Linked DNA regions of Drosophila melanogaster. Each later gene encodes a partner of the first gene's protein in a complex. Each region holds a gene or a part of one and is shown on either strand. Other genes may lie near its edges.

What was found.
Region 2: MED20 (region 1) and MED7 share a complex: the UniProt entries of both Drosophila melanogaster proteins name them as parts of the mediator complex.
Region 3: MED20 (region 1) and MED26 share a complex: the UniProt entries of both Drosophila melanogaster proteins name them as parts of the mediator complex.

Annotation. Positions count from the first base shown.
Region 1 is NT_033779.5:8,070,886-8,075,071, reverse strand, and holds MED20 (mediator complex subunit 20), read left to right. Parts: upstream 1-2,223; 5' UTR 2,224-2,310; coding exon 2,311-3,069; coding exon of another isoform or gene 3,070-3,117; 3' UTR 3,118-3,260; downstream 3,261-4,186. Other genes in the region: Mcr (macroglobulin complement-related), read left to right, coding at 1-116; Trf (TBP-related factor), read right to left, coding at 1,356-1,875, 1,947-2,101; poe (purity of essence), read left to right, coding at 3,506-3,624, 3,806-3,900, 4,024-4,186. UniProt on the Drosophila melanogaster protein: Component of the Mediator complex, a coactivator involved in the regulated transcription of nearly all RNA polymerase II-dependent genes.
Region 2 is NT_033777.3:10,759,175-10,762,935, forward strand, and holds MED7 (mediator complex subunit 7), read right to left. Parts: upstream 1,859-3,761; 5' UTR 1,760-1,858; coding exon 1,430-1,759; intron 1,369-1,429; coding exon 1,036-1,368; 3' UTR 897-1,035; downstream 1-896. Other genes in the region: CG31272 (uncharacterized protein), read right to left, coding at 1-15; Cap-H2 (chromosome associated protein H2), read left to right, coding at 2,409-2,442, 2,670-2,851, 3,073-3,275. UniProt on the Drosophila melanogaster protein: Component of the Mediator complex, a coactivator involved in the regulated transcription of nearly all RNA polymerase II-dependent genes.
Region 3 is NC_004353.4:785,583-790,538, forward strand, and holds the start of MED26 (mediator complex subunit 26), read right to left. Parts: upstream 3,397-4,956; 5' UTR 3,313-3,396; intron 2,033-3,312; exon of another isoform or gene 1,870-2,032; intron 1,628-1,869; 5' UTR 1,565-1,627; coding exon 1,499-1,564; intron 1,445-1,498; coding exon 610-1,444; intron 1-609. UniProt on the Drosophila melanogaster protein: Component of the Mediator complex, a coactivator involved in the regulated transcription of nearly all RNA polymerase II-dependent genes.

The DNA of each region.
Region 1 (4,186 bases):
ACAACATGGGCTGGCGCGCCTCCATGTCCATGTCCCTGCTCTTCTTCAGCGTATTCATATACCTACTGCGAAGTCGCACGCACCTGGTCCTAAACATGATGCAACTGCTCACATAGAAAGAAAACGAAACGCTATTCACAAAGTCACCCTCGAAACAACTTGCTAAGATTCGTAATGTTTTTGTTCATTTATTGAATGTGTTTACTTTGTAGTTTTTTGTTTTGAGTTGTAGTTTTTTTGTTTGCCAACGAAATTGCATTCCGTCCAAAAATGCTGGTCAACATTTTGGTTTTATTTTTAGTTCTTTTCAGTTTTACTCCACTGACCCGCTGTATAATTGAATGTACAAAACAGCAGTTAAACGTAAATTAGATTTTATTTTTATTGCTGAACAAAGAATCTTCTGCCACACGTAGCAGACCACATGTAGCCACCTAATGTATCTTGTAAGTCGTAACGAACCGTACTATGCCTTATCATAGAGCGGGCTCCAAGTGCGGAATGAAAAAATCAAACAATGTGTCTTTCACAAAATGCCTTTAATAGATTTTAGAAATCATTAGCGAATGTATCTTGACAAAAGTTTGCAAGCATATCGAATGGAAATTTATCTAATTTGTATTATCTAACTCTTGAATACATTTTTAAACGAAATGAAGTGAAAATCGTTGAAGAAACCGTCCAATTAATTTATGCAAATAATGAATCTGCATAGTTTGTAAGTTTTATACGTATATACGCCTTCATATGAACCACAATTAGTTTATAAATTCCCAACACAAATCTCACATAGCCATGTACATGAAGCTACTAAGCGAGAAACAAGGAAATTTTTGTACACAACTTAAGAATGTCGCTCCTTTCCGTACCATAAGAATCGAATCGAATCTCTATGAAGTGTCTTGTGTTTTCTTTTGTAATAAACGAAACCTGAAAATAAATAAAAGTAATGTTTATCCAAATGTGTTTTCTTTTCATGGAATGTGTTGGTACACTTCAGAATTTGTGGATTTGAATATTTTTCCCAAATTCCAGGAATGGGTACAAAAATGTATAAAAATTCAAATTACTTACAAATTTATTATTAATTCAAAGAATAGAATGAAATGGATTACAAGACATTAATATATAAAAATTTATTTAAAATAACAACAGTTTTTTTTAAATAAAAATTAATTTGCTTAGTAAGGCCAAAATAAAATCTTACAATTTCTATGAATTTACCCATGGAAATTATTAATTAAGTTGTTTCATTTCACATTTTATACTAAAAAAGTTAAGGTAAATATATTAAAAATATTGTAGTTATGGAATATAACTAAGCTAAACAAAAACATTTGGATGTGTAGAAACAACTACGTCTTGCGAAAACTTAGTAAAATAGGTGATATCGCCTCCAGGCAGTCCATAATGTCCTTGCGCGACTTGGCGCCCGTAAATACAACCTTTCCGTTGACGAAGATCAGGAGAACGATGCGCGGCTTGACCATGCGATAGATTAGGCCTGGAAACATCTCCGGTTCGTAGGAACTAAACTGCCCGTGCACGTGGTTGAGGTTCTCCAGGCGGATGGGGAAGCGCAGATCAACGGTGGCCACAATATTCTGCAGCTTGTATTCCATGAACTTTACGGGGAATCCCAGCTTCTGCAGGATGCGTGCGAACTTTCGCGATCCAATGTCCGCCTCAATCTCGTTTCGTGCACCCGTGCAGATGACCTTGCCCGTTCGAAAGATTAGCGCTGTGCACCTGGGCGAGTGCATTCGCATGATGACGCCACGAAAGCGCTTGGGCGAGTACTCCGAGTTCCTCGTACGCGAGTTGATTGCCTTGAGGTCCAGTTCACAGTTCACCGAGAAGGTGGCCACGATATTCCTGCAAGTTATGGATGTATCAATGGGTTTCTATTTATTTCATGAAGTGCCTCTGAAAAGTGGTCAACCAACTGCAATCGTATCTCATGTTGTGCATCCTTGGGCTCCACCAGGGCAACGGGCTGTTGCGGCTGCAGGGCTGCGTGCGGATTGGCGGCAGCATTGCTGGTCGCAGCCACATTATCCCTGTCCCTTTCAGCGTCCGCGACTTTAAAGTGAAACTGCATTGCCGAAAATTATAAACAAATCCGCACGCGACGTGGCCAGTGTTGTCCTATTTTATTGCTGACGAAAATTGTATGCCGGTTTGGTATTTTTATTTGTCTAACTTTTCTCATGACTAAAAAGTCAGCACTGGTCACACTGGACGCTTTTAGCTTGCAAGACTTGTAAACAAAATTAATAAAACTAAAAAGCTGACATTATTGCATAAACTATGGGAGTAACTATCCTTCAACCGTATCCCTTACCCGAAGGCAAATCGGGTGCCCACATAATCGATCAGCTGAGCAAGCGTCTGCTCGCCCTGGGCGCCACACATGCCGGTCAATTTCTGGTGGACTGCGAAACGTTCATCTCGACGCCACAGCCGCACAATGGAGCACCTGGACGCGCAGTCCACGTCCTGCACAACTCCGAGTATCCCGCCTCCACGTTCTCGATCATCGACAATGGCACCGGCAAACAAGTGGCCATTGTCGCCGACAATATCTTCGATCTGCTCATGCTCAAGATGACCAACACCTTCACCTCCAAAAAGCAGACCAAAATCGAGTCCCGTGGCGCTCGTTTCGAGTATGGTGACTTTGTTATCAAACTCGGTTCCGTCACCATGATGGAGCACTTCAAGGGCATCCTCATCGAAATCGAGTACAAGTCATGCGTGATTCTGGCCTACTGCTGGGAAATGATACGCGAAATGCTGCAGGGATTCCTCGGCATTGCTGTGAATAAGGACTTTCCCTCCTATTTCGCTCCACAGACAATAATGACGGCAATGGGGCAACAGCAGCTGCATGCCAAGCACAACGACATCTTTGAGCCAATGGACACCGTGAAACAATACCTGGAGCAGTTCACCAACTATAGGAAGCATGTGACTCTTATGGGCGGTATGGGCAGTGGACCGGGTAGCCAACAGGTTGGTCCGAACGTGCATATGTCGCCGGCGGTGGCGGGACTACATCGATCCTGATCCGCCGACGTCAAGCTGGAGCCACCGGATGAGCCTGCAGCCGATTAAGATGTTTAGAAGATAATTTAAACAAAAAAAATATACATATGTCACTAATATTTAATAATTAAATAATCATTATTTTAAAGCTAGCATCACTAGTTTGCTTTACATATTTTAGACGAATAAACAAAACATTTATTAGCTTGTCCAAATACGTTTAAAATATTATAGTTATATATATATATATATATATATTTTGTGCAGTGTACAGTTTTTTTCATATATTGGTTATTCACTACTTTTTTATGTATTTTTAAAACAGCTGATTGGAATAATGATTAAAGCTGTGTGGTATCCCTGCTCGCACGGCATTTTACCGTTAATGAAATCTGGCCACACAGTAGGCCGAGTACTCAGTACTATCGGGCAAATTGACGAGATTATTTAAACAATAATGTCGGCCCACAGCGGCGGAACGGATTGGAATTCCGTTGTTAAAGCCCTGATACTTAACCGTACAGGAGCCTTAAACAAGAACGAAGTTGTTAATTTGCTCAAAGCTATCACGCGATGGTAAGTACAAACGATCATCTAGAACTTTTCGCCTACCGAATGGCGTAGTGAAAAATTTTCTGCTAGTGCAAAAAGTGACTTGCAAAATTAAATATGGCCGCTCCGGTGACGAAATAGCAAAAAGCTTTGAAAATTCTTTAATATCGAGAACTAACAACGCTCTATTCCGATATTTGCATAGCGAACATGACTTTTTCGAGGAGGAAAGCAATTTCACGCAGTTTTACACGGCCTTTGCGGCCCTGGCGGCGGACAAACTTATGCAAATCAAGACAAGTAAGTGCACCCTAATGATTTTTCGCCAAATGAAAACAAAACAAAGAAATGTTTGGCCAAGAATCGAGTGATTCACTTGCGCCAATTCGCGTTCGCTACATTTATCATCTTGGTGCTTTTCAGTTTGCCAGACGCAGATTTGTCAGTTGCACGATGCCACCGCCGTGCTTATCCGGTTTATTATCTATAGACTGCCCAGGGTGTCCGTCTACGAGACCAAGTGGCTCCTGGGCGCCCTCAAGATGCTCTGCGAGGGCCGGGAGTGCCCAGCATCAGCGTCGTCATC
Region 2 (3,761 bases), on another chromosome or scaffold:
ATTCTTTTCCGACATCTTAGCTATTACTGTTTGTCACCATGGGTTTTCACAATCGGCTTGCTCTTGAAATTGATTGTTCAATTAATACGATGCAGTTCTTAATTAAAAAGCGCAACCACAAGTTCTTTAAAAAATTAAGTTCAAAGTCAATGAGTTAAGGGTTTTCAAAATATTCCTATTCAACCGACTTGCACACTTGCAATGCTGCACGAGAAATGATCATCTAGAGCGCATGGCACCTCCTTTTATCGGAGATTACTTCAATAAAAGTGAAGATTCACTTAACTACATCTCTCTTATCGCGGGCTTTACAATCTAAGAAAGCTAATAAACGTATTAAACCATGTTTATTTAGAAAAACACGTTGGATTTTGTAAAGGGCACAGTGAGTTAAAAAAATTTTAGGGAAAACATTATACTCCAGTTGTGAATGAATATCTCTATTGACTTTTTAATCATGTTTATCAAACAAAATTAGTAATTTTGATGAAACTCCATACAAATTCATTAAAACCACATATGTATATGTACATTATGAAACGCACTGTACGAGCATATTTCGGCTAGCCACGATGATGCCATGCGGTAGCACCCATTAAAAGTAGGAAAACGTGTGAGGTGTTCATGTCTCATGTCATGTCACATGTCTTTACAATTTTTACAATTAAATATATACATTTATATTGTTATTCCTATCCTGAATAAATTGTTCTAGATAGATTATTAATTTATGACATTTGACTATATTATTACTCCACGCTGACTACGTCATTTTAATGGTGAAATTTGTGGGATGCTTAATCATGAGCCTTTATCTCGGATCTTATCTGTGTAAAGCTTATCTCAAAGATGACTTAACACATTAATTCCCATTGAATGAATTACTCATTAGACGTGCAAGATTCTCATCCCACAATTGGGGTTTTATTTCTTATACTAAAAGGAGTTATAAATATGAGGAGCTCTTTTTTCCAAGCCATTCACAATGATTGACACTATTTCCAGCGTCGATGTCCAGTCTTTTGCCAACTCAGCTTACTCGATAGCGTCCACAAGCTTGCACAACATGCGATCGTGCTGGTAACTGGGATCATTCTTGGCCGCCGCATTCGCCTCCAACGGATCCACCTCCGTCTTAATCTTTGCTCCGCCGCTATCGTCGTCATCATCTAGAACCGGCAGAGCTGAGAAGGCGGTATTAACGATCTCGCGCACACGTTCCAAGTGCTTTTGGAAACGGGCGGCGGTCTCAACGCGCTGCCGCTTCTGCATTTCCATCATGACGCGCAGCGTTTCCCTCGCCTGATGTGGGCGAAATTCATTGAGGAGGTGATGCATGTTGACGAACAGCAGACTGATATCGTCAATCTAAGATATCAAATGAGTGTAATACAATAGATGCTACATTTTAATGGGTCAATTGACTCACCTTTTCCGTGCGCCGCGGGCTGTCAGGATTCAGGATAAGAAAGTCAATGAGATCTAGGAAGTTGACCAAGAGGGAGTGGTTAAGCTTCTTGAGCTCCTTGCGCCGATCGAAATGGATGGGGATCAGTCGCTTAATATTCTGGGACTCCAAGCTGCGGATCATCTCGTCGTTGTTGTACTGGATGCCAAACATGCTATAGACTTCGTGCTGCGCCGGCGGCGGCGGTGGGCGTGGCGCTCGGTTGCGGCGGATATTCTCGTCCGTGTAATTGGCGATGTACCGCTCCGGCGGCATCGGCAGGCTGGAAACCTGGGTCTCCTGGTTGGACATTATGAGATTAACAAGTGCGGAAATACAAAAATAATAAATGATTTTTGTTTTGAAGAAGTGATGGCACCTGAGACAGGCGAATCACTCACGATAGTGATGACACTATCACTCAAATTGTTTTCTTAAAAATGAGCACACTAGAGGTTTGAAGCTAGACAATGCAATAATAAGCAGAATTTATTATAATATGTTTTGAGACACTGACAAATAATTTACAATTACAAAAATTAAATTAGATATTAATCGAGCTCGAAATAATAAATGATTCACCGTGCCTAGCTATCGATAACTTAAAGGTGACCATGCTTGCATGCACCCCCTACAGCATTGCCATAGCAATTTTTCTCCGTCTCTTCCCTCATTCGTCGGTAGAGCACAACAAAATAAGAAACACATATATATCTTGATGTGAATAGCTAATTGTTCCAGCACCGATTCGCGCCAATATTCCTGTTCCTGCCAAAGAAATGAAAACAAAACGTAAAACCATAACATAACTGGACCCAACTAAGAGACAAGCCGTGCTGCCTCCACCATTTTGATTTCCCCACTCAGCGTGTGTGCGTGCTTGCAGTGCTTGTGCACGATGCCAGTAAAATGTGCAAAACCGGACATAAAACAAACTTTTCCTAGTGTCATCTAGTGAGCCATGGAGCGGATTTTGCCTGAAGAAGCGGAAGCGGGTAAGCATCCAGAACTTAGGTAACCAACGCAGGACAGCCCCAGGCGTGATCTTCGTTTCCCATTGATTAAGTCAGCGCTATTTCCAGTATACCGCGTGTGTTGGTGCTTCTATGCGAGTGTGTGTGTGTGTGTATGGGGAGGGCCGAAATAAACAATAAAGCGGATCTGCGATTGGGTGTGTGGTTTTTGCTTAAGTAAATCCAATCGGTTTCTATTTAATTCACAGCCTACTTGAGCGAAGCGCGGGAGCAGATATTGGAAATAGCCAAGAATCGGCCGGGAACCCAAGTGGCCAAGTGCATCCGCGCCTACGATGAGCAACAGGACCTGGCCTCGCTAGTCGTCCTCCTCGAAGAGCTCTCCAAAAACACGGACTACTCCACGGACCTACGGATATCACTGGGATATGTGAGTGTTGAAGACCACTATTATCAAGATAAGCAAAACCGCCGAAGAGCAGAAAGATCAAAATAAAAGTGTGACGCAACGTGCGTGGGTTTTACAGTCATGCCTCGATAACTGGTATTTTAACTAAAATTATATAAATGGGTTTTCAAGAAAATCTATTATTTTATTTACAGTGAACACAAAAGCCTGCAGATCCTCAAATACATTGCTTATATTTTCAGTATATTGAAGAGCTACTGCGCCACTGCTTAGGACGAAATGATGTCTCTCGAAGATCGGCCATCGTGGCCGCAGGAAGTGCCCTCCAGTACTGCGGCAAGATCTATGGAGACCGAGTGGAGTACCTGTGCCAGGTGGTGGAGCACCAGATCGAAGCCCTGCTCACATCGGAGTTGCAGAAGGAGACCCCTAGCGGAAGTGCTGCGTAAGTTTAACTCAGAACTGAAGAGTTAAGAAGATGGAGAAAGACAAGGCCACGTGCTCCCCACTTGTCGCCATTGCTGGCTCTTTTCGGTCCAGAATTCCGCTTATCGAGCTTCACTTTACGCCCCCTTCGGCTTTGTTTGCATTAATATCACAGAAGCCGGCTTGCCGTTAATGGACGATAGGGCACGTTCTCGTGCTTCCAAAAACAAATAACAAACAGAGTATATAAAGAAATGAGAAATTAACCAGACAAGTGAAGCTAAAAACGTAGACAGTTCATTCATAAAAATAACAAGTTATTCAGAGATAGATCACATCCTAAATAAATATTTTTACATTATAATTCACTTAAATTCTTTCTTATCAGCCGGCATTAAAGAATTTGGGGAGATTATTTGACCTAAATGTTGAAAGTCTAATTAATTTTAAAGATAGCACCAGTATTTTGATTAAACATAAGATGATTTCATTATAATATTTAAGT
Region 3 (4,956 bases), on another chromosome or scaffold:
TTTTGAAAAGTGTGGCAATTTGTGGGCGTTAGAGAAGCGTTGGAGATGAGAAAATCCAATTGCGTTATAAACACCCTCTGCACTGAGCTCAAAAAAGCTGGAAGCTGAAAATATTCATTTTAAAGAGGTGGGCTAAAGAAATTGGTTATTTAAGTTATTGGTTTTTTAAGTGCGGGCAATCGAAAAAAAAAATTTGTCAAAGGTTTTCTTAAGGGTGGGAAAACGATAAAAACTAATAATAATGGTTGGGCAAACGTTTTTTATTGATAATATTTAGTTTTAAGAGATGGTCAAACGCTCTATTCTCTGAATAGACCGAGATTAACTTGAATGTCTTATATTTTCTAAAGTATACGTTTTTTCAAAATTCAAAAGTGTTGGCAAACGATGTTATTGCAATTTAAAATATAAAATTTTTGAAAAAGTACACTTTTTGATTATCGAACTTTTTTGAAAATTCAGATCTCAAAGACTGGACGTGGACAAAAAAAAACTAATTGGTGGGCACACGATTCCAGCTTTCAAATTTCGAAAATTCCATTTTTCCGAACCCAGCTTCTTTGAGCTTCTGCAAGGATAGACACAAAGACAAATACAATTGAATCATACCCGAATCTGTTGTCAGAGCGGCCTGTTGAAACCCGTCGCTGGCTTTTGCACCAAATCTTGTATTTGTTGCGACCTGTCCTTCTCTTTCCTTACTTCTTTTTTCCTTTTTTAATTTGCGTTGCCGTGAGCTTGGTGTAGATGGTATTGGAAGTGGCGCAGGAACAATTGAGTTTAATTTTTTTGGATTTAACGAACCGTTATTGTCATTCTCATCGGAATCCGAAGCTATGTCAATAACAACTGAAGCTTCGTTTATCTTCACGGTGCTGTCATCGGTCAAGTTAATCACGGAATTTACCGAATGATCTATGACGATGGGCTGAGGAGAGGCCACGTGGCAACTTCGGATGGAATGCGAATGTCGCCGATCCTTGTGAGTATGCAATGTCGTTATAGCGATGTTTTCGTGGCGATCGCTATCTTTTATACTATTTACAAGGTTGGAGAAGTTCGGATGAAGTAGGGTATGTTCACCCGAAAGCGGAGGCTCCGCAGAGTCGATATTTGAATGCAAATCTGAAACTATTTGCTGCGAAGGAGCAATTGGTTCTGTAATAAAGCTGGTGATAGGGGACTTAACCAAATCTAATGCTGGTTGTGAAGATGAAATTTGACTGGGATGTGCCAAATTTTCAGTGGCTGTTTGCTGAATTCCTACCATTTCCCGCCACTTTTTCAGCAAGGATTTTGCACGTCGAGCCAAATGTTCATTCTTAGTCCTTCTTCTGAGCTGATTTATGTACTTAGCCAATCTGGTGGCCTCCAACTGCTCCTTGGTGATAGTTGTACCCTCCAATGCACATATGACACAGAGAACTGCGTCCATATTGACGACCTGAAAAGATCTTTACATTAACTGATTTGTTGATAAGGTAATACGTTTTCTTACATCGTAGTTTTGATCAAGTGCCTGGGATAGGTGAGTAGTAAGTTCCTGTATTTCGATTTGGTTCATTTATATCTTGCGGTGCGTAAATATTGCCCTGATCCAGATTCAAGGGACGGCGAAATGCAAATACTGTCCAAGTTAGAAAAATAAGGAAAGTAATAGAAAAGTAAGTAGTAGGTAGAAAGTAAAAAGTTATAGTGTATTCACTTCACGTTGTTGCAAAATAAATACTATTATAAATAGCCGTAAAATTGCTATTAAGTAAAGTTTAAAGACCCAGAAGTTCAAAAATTTTAATACCCGAGTTAGTAGCGTGTCTGTGAAACACTCATACCAATACAAAACGTGTATTGCTCAATCGTTATGCTTACAAATATGCACACTTCGAATGTAAAGTCTGTGCTTCCTGAGCGCACTTCCTTGAATATGAAAATTTGTATTTGTCCAAAATAAGGAAAATTAATAATTTATGGTTGACTTCCCGACTTTATTACAATTCGCCATTTTTACCAATGACAGCTGCACTTCAAGGGTGGCAGAAAATCGATAAGTATTTAACAATTATTATCGATATACTTTCACGTGAATTTCTTTTAACAGGAAGGCCTGATCATACTGCTATCAAACAGAATTGAAGAGGAATTGTATTATATGTGACATGAAAACCTATAGGAGTATTATATAAAGTAAACGTCCATTTTTGGGCTAAATGCGTGAATCTCAAAATGAAAAAAGGGTCAAATATACCAGACCAGAAAATGAAGGTTTTGTTGCTTTGTGGTTTGGATATTTTCCCGTTGTCCTATATATTTTGTAAAATATAAAACGATTTCGTAGATTCTCCGTCCAGTTACCCGCTTTACTTAATATGGAGAATATTAAAATATTGTTTGTTTTTTTACCCTTAACTTATTTTATTCGGACTAGCAATGCCGTTTTTTTTTTGTTAAGGATATATAAAGATTCTTAAACTCTTTCATTTCAATGCGAAATATTTGAAAAAAGTGTGTATATATAGGATTTGTACAAAACAAATGCTCTCGGTGTTCTTCAAAAACAAAAAACAAACAAATGGCTTACAATTACCAAACCCCATAACTTGGGTTAAGGGATCATCTCACAATTGAAAAAAAGTAAACTATAGTACTATCCTTCAGCACCAAAATCGAGTATATATTTTTTTCTTATTGCAAAACCTTTGGAAGCCTTTTGTATATAAGAATATATTTTACATTTAATAAGCAACAGAAAAAGAATATGTTTAATTTTTTATATTCACATTTTACCACAGCGGCTTTTTTTTTAATATGTTCTATAATATTATTCTTATTCTGAACCTCGAGCAGAAGAGATTTTATTGACCTTCCCGTCTAAGAACTGAGCTACCCCATGCTTATACTGTGTTTCCGTGTTTGACAAAAACCAAAACTGACTGTGTCCATATATATAGTGTAATTGGAATATAAACGGTTAGTAGTACTAAATTAGGAAGAATGCTTGTCCGATCCGTTCACACTGGTAACGTTAGAATACCGGAGAAAAACTATTATTACTTAAAATGCTAATTAAGTTTAAAAAACATTTTTGTATTTCAGTACAATAATAAAAAATTTAATCATCTCCGCTAGTGAGCAAAATTCAAATATAACGACAGTGACTCTTCTGCATATAAACTTGAGATTTGCAAAAATATAGATGCATCAACTTCATAAATTCACACTTGGCTGGTTTGTCGCTCTTACCGAAATATCCTGATATATTCCTTTTGCACATACATAAATATACTTATATTATATGTCGTTTTTAATACATACCCCCACATTAATCACACTGCACATGGTCTATTCAAAGCCATATAAATAACAAGATGCGTAACGGCCATACCAAAGACACTAGAATAACAAGATGCGTAACGGCCATACATTGGTTTGGCACTATGCAGCCACTTTTTTGGTGACGGCCAAAATTGCTCTCTTTCCGCTCGCTCACGCTGAGAACATAAGAAATCTAAAAATAGAATTTGCTTGCTTGTGTGAGTAAAAACAAGAGACGGGAACGCGTATATGTGTGGGTGTTGTGCTAGAAGACGATTTTCGGGCCGAAATCAATTCTGATCAAAGAAATGAATTTACATTGTACATATTAGGGTAGTTTTTTGCCAATTTCGTAGCAATATGATGAAATAAAATAATTTTTAAAAATTCGCGCCCTTCTTATTATAATTTTAAAATTTTAATTTTAATTTTAAAATTTTTTAATTTTAAAGCTTTTTAAATTCGTTTGTTAAAATCGCCGCTCGAATTAGCTACCGTTTACATATTTATATTTATGTTGATAATTATTTATGTGTAATATGTGTAATAGTCGGTACCCAGGGAACACTACGGGGAGGCCATTACAATTGTAATGGGGTCTTATATTTACGTATATGACCTTCGAGTCGACTTGAAATATTTTAATGTTTAACATTAAAACATTTCCATATTCCCCAATTAAGTTATTTTTCTAACTATTGTTTTTTATTATATATTGCTCGATTTTTCAGTCGTCAGTTATTTAAATAACGCTCATTTTTTTTATTCATGAGATAGAATGCTGAGCTTAGCTTGCTTTTTTTGTCTATCAGCTATCACAGTCCACTTACAATGCTTAAAAAGCAAAACTTTTATAAGTTTGTTTAAAAGATCTGTTCTATGTGCATAACATTCATTATTTTCATAAAACCATAATGGGAAGGCACTACTTTCATTTGTGCACTTAATGCATTGCTCAACAATAAATTTTTTTATACACATTTGTTTTTTATTATTTTTAAAAATATTTTCGAAAGCTTTAATGTGTATTTTGTAAATATTAAAAAATAAATCAGATGGTGCCCTTAATTTCCCGAAGTCCGATTCTATTGAGTAGTTTTTCTCATGTATAAAAAGCTCTGATGGAGCTGTTAAATGCTCGGTTTCTTTTAAAATTACCGATCTGCATTTATCGCAACTGGATCCCTTAGCAATATATCCAACAAAATATCTACTGGAAGTTAATTCAATGGGTACATCATTGCACAAAAAGTTATCTATATTTTGGTCAAAGTACCTCTCATTGTCTTGCACGATTTTGGAAAATGATACAGAGTATTCTTGTTGCTGTATTTCTTTTTTTTCAACGAAAGGCTGATATATTATCGAATCGAACTCTATTGGCAACATAACATCATCATCTGATTCGCAATTCGACTTTTGTGAAAATTTAAAAATGTGTAGAGATATGAGCTTGGCAATTATTATATTAAATTCGTTAACTGAAGGATTTCTGCAGTTACCACCTTTTGCTCGAACGCACGCAAATATATTTTCAAGGGGATCCTGGTTAACTCTACTAGTTAAAAAGAAAAAGTGGTCTGTGTGATCCTTAAAGAGATCTTCGACGAGTCCAAATATAGCTTCAGTAGTTTGGATCAAGCC